3 linked regions of the Ovis aries genome follow. The protein of the gene in region 3 interacts with the protein of the main gene of each other region in a pairwise test. Links are inferred from orthologs where the notes say so. Each region holds a gene or a part of one and is shown on either strand. Other genes may lie near its edges. The genes, in order: EIF4E, RHOBTB3 and UBXN11.

The links.
Region 1: the proteins of UBXN11 (region 3) and EIF4E interact in binary tests that used the Homo sapiens proteins (3 or more experiments, as listed by UniProt). The link is inferred for Ovis aries from reciprocal best matches to the Homo sapiens genes UBXN11 and EIF4E.
Region 2: the proteins of UBXN11 (region 3) and RHOBTB3 interact in binary tests that used the Homo sapiens proteins (3 or more experiments, as listed by UniProt). The two-hybrid records come from large-scale screens. The link is inferred for Ovis aries from reciprocal best matches to the Homo sapiens genes UBXN11 and RHOBTB3.

What each region holds. Positions count from the first base shown.
Region 1 is NC_056059.1:26,273,018-26,276,609, forward strand, and holds part of EIF4E (eukaryotic translation initiation factor 4E), read left to right. Parts: intron 1-1,314; coding exon 1,315-1,378; intron 1,379-2,081; coding exon 2,082-2,195; intron 2,196-3,592. UniProt on the Homo sapiens protein: Acts in the cytoplasm to initiate and regulate protein synthesis and is required in the nucleus for export of a subset of mRNAs from the nucleus to the cytoplasm which promotes processes such as RNA capping, processing and splicing.
Region 2 is NC_056058.1:92,674,173-92,678,464, forward strand, and holds the start of RHOBTB3 (rho-related BTB domain-containing protein 3), read left to right. Parts: upstream 1-1,456; 5' UTR 1,457-2,107; coding exon 2,108-2,109; intron 2,110-2,117; exon of another isoform or gene 2,118-2,265; coding exon 2,266-2,491; exon of another isoform or gene 2,492-2,496; intron 2,497-4,292. UniProt on the Homo sapiens protein: Rab9-regulated ATPase required for endosome to Golgi transport. Involved in transport vesicle docking at the Golgi complex, possibly by participating in release M6PRBP1/TIP47 from vesicles to permit their efficient docking and fusion at the Golgi.
Region 3 is NC_056055.1:240,540,764-240,545,054, reverse strand, and holds the start of UBXN11 (UBX domain-containing protein 11), read right to left. Parts: upstream 2,823-4,291; 5' UTR 2,767-2,822; intron 1-2,766. UniProt on the Homo sapiens protein: May be involved in the reorganization of actin cytoskeleton mediated by RND1, RND2 and RND3. Promotes RHOA activation mediated by GNA12 and GNA13.

The sequences.
Region 1 (3,592 bases), on a different chromosome or scaffold from region 3:
AACCCTTAAGCTTTCTGTCTTCGTCACTTAGTTTCTCCCTTTTGGGGGACAAATTTAATGAAACAGCTATTGAGGTTTTTTTTTTTTTTTTTTTTTTAATCTAGTCTTGTCTGTAGCATTAGGATTCTATTTAAGTGTGCCATTAACAGATTCTAATTGTAAACTTAGTAAGAGACCTTAGAGCATGATTAAGGAGAAAGAAGACAGCAGAAAGAATCATTGGTCTTTTCTACTTTGAACGCCATTGAAGAATGTCCCTTCCACACTAGACATTAACTGTATAGAAGTGGTGGTTCTAATTCTGTAGTTACTGTTAGTATCCATGTCTCTCTTCTGGCCTAGTGGAATCTTGTCAGTGATAATCTAGTTTGGAAAGAGTTACTACTAGATAGAATAACCCAACAAGCTGTATGCTGTCTTAATGCTCTCTCATTCAAATTGGATTTGTTGTTAAACTGTGAGATGTCATCCAGAGAATCCTTGACTCTTTCTTAAAACTCTACTTGAAATACTCACAGACTGGGTTAAAATAGCAGTAAGAAAATCTTAATAAGGGAAATAACCATCCGTGTGGTATTATTGCTAGTTGTATAAGATCATCACTTTGGATCCAATCTAGCATTCTGCCTTCAGGCTAGTGGAATACCTAATTCATCCCAAATGTTAATCTGTTACATTGCTATTTGGGAAATAGTTTAGAAATACACATTCTGTGGTTCCAGCCTGTATTTAAGGAATTAAAATTCTAAGAAGTAGGATGTAGAACTATTCTGTCTTTAAAAGTTCCCCCAAAGATTATTGTGCTTGCTGACTTAAACTAGTAATAGTGTGTAGTGTTTGGGGACTGTTGATCTTTTCCGCTCTTTGGTACTTTCACAGATAATAGTAATGTTGACTTAGTTTAGTCATGCAATCCTGATGATCAGGGAGTTTTGTCTTACTTTCTCTAGATTTGTCTTTTTGTGTGTTTAAAATGGCTTATTAGCCTCCTGGATTCTTTCATTTACTTAAAGGCATCTGGTACCTCTCTTCTCAGTTTCTTGTAATAATATGTATATATTAAGTTAACTAATGCACCAAAATTGTCAGGATAAAATCACTGAAGATATTTCTAAAAATCATTAGATGTTGATTCTTAAAGCTGACTGTTATTAAGATCTGTTTGGTCTGTTTCAGAAATTGACTCCATAGTGGGAAAAAAGTAAATGAGTTTTTATCTTGTTTATTTTTATCATATTCTCTGAATGTACATATAAACACCTAAACTCTACACTACATTTTCTATGTTTATAATTGTTCTTTTCTTTTACCTAGTCTGTACAACCATATCCAGTTGTCTAGTAATTTAATGCCTGGCTGTGACTACTCACTTTTTAAGGTATGCTTAATTGGTGACTTCATATATTTTTTATAAGACTGGACCATTCAGGTATTCATTAAAATCTTACCATGAACTTAGAAATAGTTAATGTTGTGATGCTTGGAGAATAATTGTATTAGCTTTACCATATTTTAGCATAAGTATATTTTGGCTTCTTTTAGTATAAATAATTGAAATTAAGTGAGAATTTGGCGGTATGGACACATACTGTGATTGATTTTGAGGAGATCTTTGATTATCCACTCTTATTTCTTCTTTATATACTTGAGTAGACCGAAGTGCAGTTTGTCAGGAGTATGTGCGTCCTTGAGATACTTATATGAGTTTTGTCAGCTGTTAGTGGGTGGGACAGTCATTAGCTCTCTGAAGTGGTATAGCTTTCATATGTATTTTTTAGATGTAGAAATGTGCATGGCTTCTAAAAGGTGTCTGTTACTCAGAACCTCCAAAGTATATTACTTTAGAACCTCCAAATTAAGTCAAACCCCAGATTTGATAGCTATTAAGTGCCCTAGTCAAGGCTCTGTTTTTGCAATCCCATGCCTCTGGCTTTAAGTTTTGTGTGCTTTCGCACTACCTCAATAACAGTTTTATGAGTATAAAGTAAACAATTAACACGGTTGTTGCTTACTGTTTTTAGTCATTATCTTAAGTTAAACTAACAATATTGTCTCATATTGTTGTACCCCTAACCTTGTAGGATGGTATTGAGCCTATGTGGGAAGATGAGAAAAACAAACGAGGAGGACGATGGCTTATTACACTGAACAAACAGCAGAGACGAAGTGACCTCGATCGTTTTTGGCTAGAGACAGTAAGGTTTTAAAATTATAAAGCTGTTTTTGAATACTAAAACTTTGTTGTTGTTGTTCAGTTCAGTCGCGTCCGACTGTATGCGACCCCATGAATCGCAGCACGCCAGGCCTCCCTGTCCATCACCAACTCCCGGAGTTCACTCAAACTCATGTCCATCGAGTCAGTGATACCATCCAGCCATCTCATCCTCTGTCATCCCCTTCTCCTTGTGCTCCCAATCCCTCCCAGCATCAGGGTCTTTTCCAATGAGTCAGCTCTTTGCATGAGGTGGCCAAAGTACTGGAGTTTCAGCTTTAGCATCATTCCTTCCAAAGAAAGCCCAGGGTTGATCTTCAGAATGGATTGGTTGGATCTCCTTGCAGTCCAAGGGACTCTCAAGAGTCTTCTCCAACACCACAGTTCAAAAGCATCAATTCTTCGGCACTCAGCTTTCATCACAGTCCAACTCGCACATCCATACATGACCACAGGAAAAACCATAGCCTTGACTAGATGGACCTTAGTCGGCAAAGTAATGTCTCTGCTCTTGAATATGCTGTCTAGGTTGGTCATAACTTTTCTTCCAAGTTGTTGTTGTTATTCAGTTGCTAAGTTGTTTCTGACTCTGTGACCCCATGAACTACAGCACTCTAGGCTTCCCTGTCCTTCACTATCTCCCATAGTTTGTTCAAACTCATGTCCATTGAGTCAGTGACACCATCCAACCATTTCATCCTCTGTTGCCCTCTTCTCCTCTTGCCTTTAATTTTTCCCATCATCAGGGTCTTCTATAATGAGTCAGCTTTTTGCAGCATGTATCCAAAGTATTGGCGCCTCAGCAGCAGTCCTTTCAGTGAATATTCAGGGTTGATTTCCTTTAGGATTGATTAGCATGATCTCCTTGCTGTCCACAGGACTCTCTTCAAGAATCTTCTGCAGCACCACAAGAGTCTTCTCCAGCACTGCAGTTGGAAAGCATCAATTCTTCGGTGCTCACCCTTCTTTATAGTCCACCTCTAACATCCATACATGACCACTGGAAAAACTATAGCTTTGATTATACGGACCTTTGTCCGCAAAGTGATGTCTCTGCTTTTTAATATGTTGTCTAGGTTTGTCTAGGTTTGTCAGGTTGTCTAGGTTTGCCTAGGTTTGTCTAGGTTTCCCAGGAGAAAGTGTCTTTTAATTTCGTGGCTGCAGTGACCGTCCACAGTGATGATGGAGCCCTAGAAAATGAAATCTGACTCTTGTTTCCCACATTTTCCCCATCTGTTTGCCATGAAGTGATAGGACCAGATATCATTATTTTCGTTTTTCTGAATGTTGAGCTTTAAGCCAGCTTTTTCACTGTCCTCTTTTACCTTCATCAAGAGGCTCTTCCTCTTCACCTTCTGCCATTAAAGTGGTAGAAAACTT
Region 2 (4,292 bases), on a different chromosome or scaffold from region 3:
TCATTTCACATTTTCATTTTACAAAACAGAAACTCCACACTCATTGAACTCCAAATTTTCCTCTTCCAGAAGCCCCCTTAAAACTAGCATTCTGCTTTCTAAGAGTCTAACTACCTGAGATATCTCATGTAAGTGGAATAATGCAGTCTTTGTCTTTCTATGACTAGCTTATTGCCCTCAAGATTCATTCATGTTGCAACATGTGACAGGATTTCCCTCTTTTCTTAGACAGAATACTATTTCTATGTATATACCACATTTTCTGTATCTGTTCAACCATTCCGGTGTCTTTGCTTTCGACTTGGGGTTACTGGTGGTGATTGATGACCCATGAGAAAAGATGATCTTGTACTATTTTGGGGTGCTTCTAGAGACTAAAAGAGAAACTATACTGGGTGCAAAGGGAAATACGATTTTTAAACATCAGTGCCTTAGGTAAAGAATGCCCCCCATTATACTCTATCTGGGCACGAGAAACTATTAAACCCCTTTCAACTGAGCAACCGGGGCCCACAATAAAAAGCTGCTCACATTCCAAACGCCTCTCACCCTAGGGTTTTAACTGCCCTACTCAGCACCTCCTGTTTCATAGCCTGAAAATAGTTCTGTTGAGAAAAGAAACAGCAACATTTTAAAGCAGGGCAAAATAAATAAAGGGATAAACAAGAACTCTTTCAACACGGAGCACTTGCGAGAATTTTCATGTTTATGGAGAGGCAGAGCCCCAGAGTAAACTCTGGCTCCTCTTCGCAATGGATTCCAGTGTTCACTTGCAACGAGGCAGTTTGAGGCCCTTTGGGGACACTCACAGCCTTTAGTTCAAGGCGTTATCATGAAAGAATCTAAAGTATCCTTGCATTAGCATGATCGTTATTTTTCCAGCTGGTCTGAGGAGCTATTATTAAACATGTAGCCATAATGCGTACCGAAAAATCCCCCACGTAAGCTCGCATTTGGTCTGTAAACACGTTAAACAACCTCACGCGTAACGACTTCCTACAGCTATCACAATCAGAACCTCAACACTTAAAACAAAACAAAACAAAATCCTTCGGCTTTTGGTCAAAAAAGATGCCAAATATAGCTTGAAGTAGTAAATAATCCTCCCGAGAAGCGACGTTCGCGAATTAATTGGTGCGTGAACAAAGAACCCTTTCTGCACCACGATGAATGTTGCCTTTCTTTTTTTTTCTCTCGCAAGTATGATTGTAGAAAACAGCTGTACTACATGTTGACAAATGACCAAGCGGCAGACTTGGTAAAAACACTTTTGGTCAAGGCCAAGAAGAGGGTAGAAAAAAAGGGGGGGCTGCTGGAGCGGCCGGGGGCTGGATTCCCTGGCTTCCCTTACCCTTTTTTACCCCCTAGTCTTTAGGGAGCAGGGGCCGCAACCGCCCCATCACCACACCCCGCCCCCCACCCCCTTTCCCCCGCTCGGCTCCGGTTACAGCCTTTCGAGTTGAACAAACTTGCTGCAGGCGGATTGGTGACCGGGAGCTCTCGGGCCGGGGCGTCGTATTTATTAATTTATATTCCGCGGCGCCCCGCGCAGGCCGTTCCTTTGTATCCCGCCCGCCGCCGCCGCCGCTGCCCCGGCTCGGGGGGGAGCCTCAGCGGGCAGCGAGGCCCCCGCGTCCGCCCGAGGACACCCCCCTCTCCAAGGCCGGCACGTGCGGCTGCCGCCCGGCCCGCAGAGGGGGGCGGAGGCCCGGCTTTCCCCCACCCGCCGCTGAGCCAGAAGCAGGAGGCGCGGCGGCGGGCCGCCCGGCCGGGGGAGCGCGGCGCCCGGCGAGTCTCCGCGGCGGCGGCGGGGGCCCGGCAGCGGGGACGGCGGGGCCCCCCGCCCCGGGGATGCGCCCCGGCACTTCCTGACTGGCTGGCGGCGCGCGCGCGGCCCCCGGAGCTCGCTCGCCCGCCCGCTCTGCGTCGGCCGCGCCGCGCGGGAGGCGCGCGAGGAGGGGGAGACGCGGCCCGGGATGAGCTGACTGCTGGGGGGCGCGCGTGGTGGTGGCGGGGGGCGGAAACCACGCCGCCGCCTGGCCCCCCGCAGGCCGCGAGGAGCCGACCTTTCTCCGCGCCGCCGCCCGGGCCCGGGGGACTGGAGATCATGTACGTACGCGTCGCGGGCCCGCTCTGGTCTCCAGCTCCGGCGCGTGCCGTGCGCCCCACCCCGGGCCCGGGGGGCTCTCGCGCGCCCGTCCTCGCCGCGCGCTGCCCCCCGCGCTCACCACGCGCCTCTTCTCCCCCTGGTCTCGGCCGCCTTAGGTCCATTCACATCGTGGCGCTGGGGAACGAGGGGGACGCGTTCCACCAGGACAGCCGGCCGTCGGGGCTCATCCGCGCCTACCTGGGGAGAAGCCCGCTGGTCTCCGGGGACGAGAGCAGCTTGTTGCTGAGCGCGAGCGGCGCGGCCGCGCGGCCCGTGTTCACCGAGTATCAGGCCAGCGCGTTTGGGAACGTCAAGCTGGTGGTCCACGACTGTCCCGTCTGGGTAAGGGGGCTGACGGAGCTTTCCTTTCCTTTTCTTTCTTTTCTCCCCCCCCCCCCCCCCCCATTTCATGAATGTCAACGTCCGGGTCACCGGGGGAGAGTTTTCTTTTCTTTTTTTTTTACATTTTGGGGAAAGTCTTTGGTCCTTCGTTTCAGGGGGCAGGGGCCAGCCTAATCAAAGAACACTCTTAGAAGGCAAAAAAGAAAAAAGAAAAAAAAAAAAAAGCTCCAGTGAGAATATGAAGCACTTAGGCGTACGTTTCACGATTGTGGGTTGTCTCTTGGTTAAGACAGCTAACCCTTAAATGTCCCAACCCCAAGGGACGCGGGTCATTAAGTTTCACCAGCAGAGAGCAGTGGGTTTTTTTTTTTTTTTTCTTCTTCTTGCCTATCCTGTGTGGGGGATATAGTAATATGAGTGTTCTAAAAATAAAGATCTCTGAAAGCTCAACAGAGCCAAAATACATTTCACTGGGGGCCCGCTCAGAAATAGGACCCCTGGAAAGGAGGGGGAAAGTCAGGGACTGAGAATTAAATTTAAACAACTCGTTTATAGCACTTTGAAAAAATTTTTAATTAGTTTTTAATTTTAATAGTGCAGATGTTCCTGATATATTTAGCCATTTCTTTTTCCTGACCCGTAAATCAGAAATATTACTGATACTATTTTGGGACTTGAAAAAAGCTTTAAAATTTGCGATGATTAGAAGAAATTGTAATGAAGTTGATAAATGCTAGTCTAATTCTTGAGTGATAAAAGAAGAAAGAAATCTACATCCTGATGGTATAAATGTTTTTCAGTACGCAGTAGCATCCAGAATGTTTTCATGTAATCTTATTTCAAAGTTTCTGAGTCTTTACTAGTATAGAATCTACATTGCAGCTAAGTGTTATATTTTATAACAGAAGAAGGTTTAAGGTCTGAAAAAAAATAGAGATTATCTTTATGTGAGGTTTACATTTAAACCACAGTTTAAGAAAAGTGAATTAGGGACTATAGGCTACACCTATACAAAGACAGGATACACCTTTCCAAAGAAATGTATAAAATGTCTGTAAAAACATTTCTTATGCGGATTTCCATATTACAGAAAGAAAAGATCACTTGTCCAAATAAATTTTCAGCTGAAAAGTAAATTTATGTTAGTAGACTAAAATAAATGAAAAACAGGCCTTTTCAGTCTAACAGGGAGGCTATTAAACTCCTAATTACGACATTGATGATGCTGATCATAAGAAGCATGGGTAGAGAACTTACTGGCTGGAGTCCATGCAAACAAATGAAACCCTTCTTCCCCTTTGATCATTTCATTGTGAAAAATCATACAATCTAAAAACTTACTGGGTCTACACTCAGTTGGACAAATATTGAGTGAATAGAGTAAATAAATGGAGGGGAAATAAAATAAGCTGAATTAGGATGTTAGGATAACCTTTCCTGTTTTTTTTGTTTTGTTTTGTTTTTTTGAGCAGTTAACTCCTGTTGATGTTATTATTAATAATTTAACAAAAAGCAGTGCTTGTGATCCCATGGATTGTACTAAATGAAATCTTCCAAATCAGTTAAAATTAACCTTTGTCGTCTAGATTTTTGATTGTTATGTTTTATTATTCTAATCACCTTTGTTTGGTTAACTCTGGCCCTTTTTAAGGCATTGAGTTTGTATGTAACCAGGCACAGTTTTCTGGGTTATAATGGTCTTCAGGCATAGTAGAATGTGTTTGTAGAGCTACTCTTTAAAAGATGCTTTTCTTCTCTAGGTTGTAAGTAAAAGCCCGTTGGAGGTATGAAAGTTGATTGT
Region 3 (4,291 bases):
TCAGTTCAGTTCAGTTGCTCATTCATGTCCGACTCTTTGCGGCCACATGAATCGCAGCACACCAGGCCTCCCTGTCCATCACCAACTCCCGGAGTTCACTCAGACTCATGTCCATCAAGTCAGTGATGCCATCCAGCCATCTCATCCTCTGTCATCCCCTTCTCCTCCTGCCCCCAATCCCTCCCACCATCAGAGTCTTTTCCAATGAGTCAACTCTTCGCATGAGGTGGCCATAGTACTGGAGCTTCAGCTTTAGCATCATTCCTTCCAGAGAAATCCCAGGGCTGATCTCCTTCAGAATGGACTGGTTGGATCTCCTTGCAGTCCAAGGGACTCTCAAGAGTCTTCTCCAACAACACAGTTCAAAAGCATCAATTCTTTGGCACTCAGCTTTCTTCACAGTCCAACTCTCACATCCATACATGACCACAGGAAAAACCATAGCCTTGACTAGACGGAGTCCCATCACTGGTCCCATCACTTCATGGCAAATAGATGGGAAAACAATGGAAACAGTGAGAGACTTTATTTTGTGGGGCTCCAAAATCACTGCAGATGGTGACTGCAGCCATGAAATTAAAAGACACTTGCTCCTTGGAAGAAAAGCTATGACCAACCTAGATAGTATATTCAAAAGCAGAGACATTACTTTGCCAACTAAGGTCTGTCTAGTCAAGGCTATGGTTTTTCCAGTGGTCATGTATGGATGTGAGAGTTGGAGTGTGAAAAGAGCTGAGCGCCAAAGAATTGATGCTTTTGAACTGTGGTGTTGGAGAAGACTCTTGAGAGTCCCTTGGACAACCAGTCCATTCTAAAGGAGATCAGTCCAGGGTGTTCTTTGGAAGGAATAACGCTAAAGCTGAAACTCCAGTACTTTGGCCACTTCATGGGAAGAGTTGACTCATTGGAAAAGGCTCTGATGCTGAGAGGCATTAGGGGTAGGAGGAGAAGGGGACGACAGAGGATGAGATGGCTGGATGGCATCACCGACTCGATGGACCTGAGTTTGAGTGAACTCCAGGAGTTGGCGATGGACAAGGAGCCCTGGCATGCTGCAATTCATGGGGTTACAAAGAGTCGGACACGACTGAGCGACTGAACTGAACTGAACTAAAGGTTCAACAGTTATCTTAGGGCCCAGCAATTCCATGCCTAGGTGTACACCCAAGAGAAATGAAAACTCACATCCACAGAAACCTGTGTATCTGTTCATAAGTAGCATTACTTGTAAATAGCCCAAAACTGGAAACAACCCAAATGTTCATCAACCAATAAGTGGATAAACAAATATAGTATATCCTTCCTTCTCTGGTGGCTCAGAGGTTAAAGCGTCTGCCTGCAATGAGGGAGACCTGGGTTCGATCCCTGGGTCCGGAATGTCCCCTGGAGAAGGAAATGGCACCCCACTCCAGTATTCTTGCCTGGAGAATCCCGTGGACAGAGGAGCTTGATGGGCTACAGTCCACGGGGTCGCAAATAGTCGGACACGACTGAGCGACTTCACTTACAATGAAATATTATTTGGCAAAAAAAAAGAAAGAAATGCAATACACACCACAGTGTCAATGGACCTTGAAAACATGCTAAGGTAAAGAAATCAGTCACAAAAAACCACCAACTGTTAGGATTCAGTCCAGAATGGGTAAATCTATAGAGACAAGATAGATTAATGGTTGCCTAAGGCTGGAGGTGTTAGGAAGAGCTGGGGAGAGGGAGATGCTAAAGGTACAGGGTTTCCTTGGGGCTGGTGAAAATGTTCTCAAATTTGATTGTAGTTACGACTGCACAACTCTGTGAATATACTAAAAACAACTGAAGTTTACATTTTAAAGAGGTGAAGTATCTAGTATGTGTATTGTATCTCAATAAAGCTATTATAGGGGGAAAAAAAAGGACCTGGTCTCCAAACCAAACCAAATATCTCTCGAAATAAGCTCCTCCCGCTTCCCCTTTCTGAAGAGGACCTCATTATCCAAACACAAAAAATTTCCCTCCTTTTTCTCCTCTAATCCCTGCAGTTCCGGAATCCTGCAGGGTAAACCCTGCACGTTTCTCACACATAGCTCCTCCTCCCGTGGCCCCCTGCTGGCCATCCTAGTGGGACTCTCACTGCCCTTCTTTGGGGCTGTTACAATGGCCCCAAACCGACTTCCCTGCTTCCAATCTCACTCCAGGCCAATCCAACAGTCTCCAGATCAATTTTCCCATGTGATCATAGGAGACCCCTGAGGACAAAGGCTATTCCTTTCCTTCAGCCTGGGGACTTCTTGAGCGAAGAAGGGCTGTGTCTCCTCCCTCAGATTGGGAACCCTGGGGGCAAAGCCACGTCTATTCCCTTCACTTTGCGTTTTTTCTTGGGGCGGGAGACTGTGTCTTCCTCCTCAAGCCAGAGGCGGCTAAAGGTTAGACTGCCTGCTTCTTCAGACTCAAGCTTTGAGAGTCAAATTGGTCTTGCAACAGGTCCCAGTGCTCGCCAGCGCCGACACGGGCCAGCAGGCTGCACACCTTCATTCCCTAAATCTCAGCTGGAAGCGCTCACCACCGACTTCCACCACCAGACCCTCCCTGGAAGCTGCGTCGCCAACCCCCCGCCTCCGCCCGTAGCCGTGGTAGGCAGCGGCCTGAATCTGCTCCCAGGCGCGGAGAGTCTACTGGAGGGGCCGGGATGTGGGGCTCGCATATCCTCGAGGCTCTCGCGGTGAGGGCCCCAGCCTATGTGAGAGGGACTCCACGAGGAGAAAGGTCTGAGGCCTTTCTGTAACTCACCACGCAAGCCGCAGAACCACCCGCGGCGCCGCCATCTTGTTGTCACACGGTTTCCCAGGCAACCAGGACCCTTGTGCTTCTCATTGGCTAATCCGTGAGGAGTCCCTGAGCAACCAGGAGGCAGCGGAGGCGGGTACAGCTGTCTCTACTCGAATTCTATTGGCCCACGAAGTCTAAACTCATCGCGGGGAAGACTGCAAATCCCAAAACCGGCCGCTCTGAGCGGACTCTGGGTTTAGGGCAATTTGAGAGTCCTTTCCTATTACTCCAAGGCACAGAAAGCGGAGAACTGGGATTAGGTTCACGAAGCTGCTGGAAGCCTCTAGACCTGAATGTGCAGTCCTGACCATGCCACTGTTTTATTAAATTGATTTTGGGAGAAATTACATGTATCCTGGTGAGCTTGTTTTTCCATCTGATCACTACAGTACTAAAGGGAAGTTCTTTTGAGCATGAATTGAAATGATACAAGTACTTAATAAATGTTTCTTAAATCTGCATTTCTCTGCTAATTTCTTGGCGCCCCGAAGAGACGCTCTGATTCTATTTCCTTTATGTAAAAATTCGAGTAAGACTGCTGCCATTGGGTAAGATACTTAGAGTGACTTTGGGTGAGACCCTTCCCCTTCCTGAGCCTCACATGAAAAACAACCTGTTGGATTAGAGCAACTAGAGGTAGTTTTGTTAAGAGCATGGTCTTTGGCACCAGGAGTCCCAGGCTGTGTGTGTGTCCTTGAGCAAGTTACCTTAATTTCTTTTGTTAAATGGGAATAACATCAAACCAGTCAATCCTAGAGGAAATCAACTCTGAATATTCATTGGAAAAGCTCACGGTGAAGTTCCAATAGTTTGGCCACCTGATGTGAAAACTAGACTTGTGGGAAAAGACCCTGATGCTGGGAAAGATTGAGGGCAACAGAGGATGAGATGGTTGGATGGCATCACTGACTCACTGGACATGAGTTTGAGCAAACTCCAGGAGACAGTGAAGGACAGGAAAGCCTGGTGTGCTGCAGTCCATGGGGTCCCAAAGAATCAGATATGACAGTGACTGAACAAACACCACAAACCCACCCCACAGAGCTGCCATGAGAATTAAATGAGACAATACGTACTGAATAACTATCACAATACCCATACAGAGTAAGTTTTCAAAACACTTCCTGCTTTTAACTTTTGTTATCATTATCTCACAGTCATCCAGCTGTGATGATCTGGGTGTCTTATGATTTCCGGCACCCACTTCCTTATACCTTGGCTCAACTACCAAAGCCCTTTATCTGCATGTCTCCAACTGCACTTATTAATATTTTCCATTTGACTCTCTAACCTACTGCTTTTAGGGGAGGGCAGGCTCCTTGAGGCATTCTTTACTCACCAATTGGAAACTGAAAGGACCTACCAATTAATGAGCATCTTCCAAGTGCCAGATGCCAAAATTATGAGATTTAGAGATGAGAAAACTGAAGCTCAGAGAAGTGACGTGACTTGCTCAAGACTGTGCAGGTAGAAAGCAGAAAAGTGG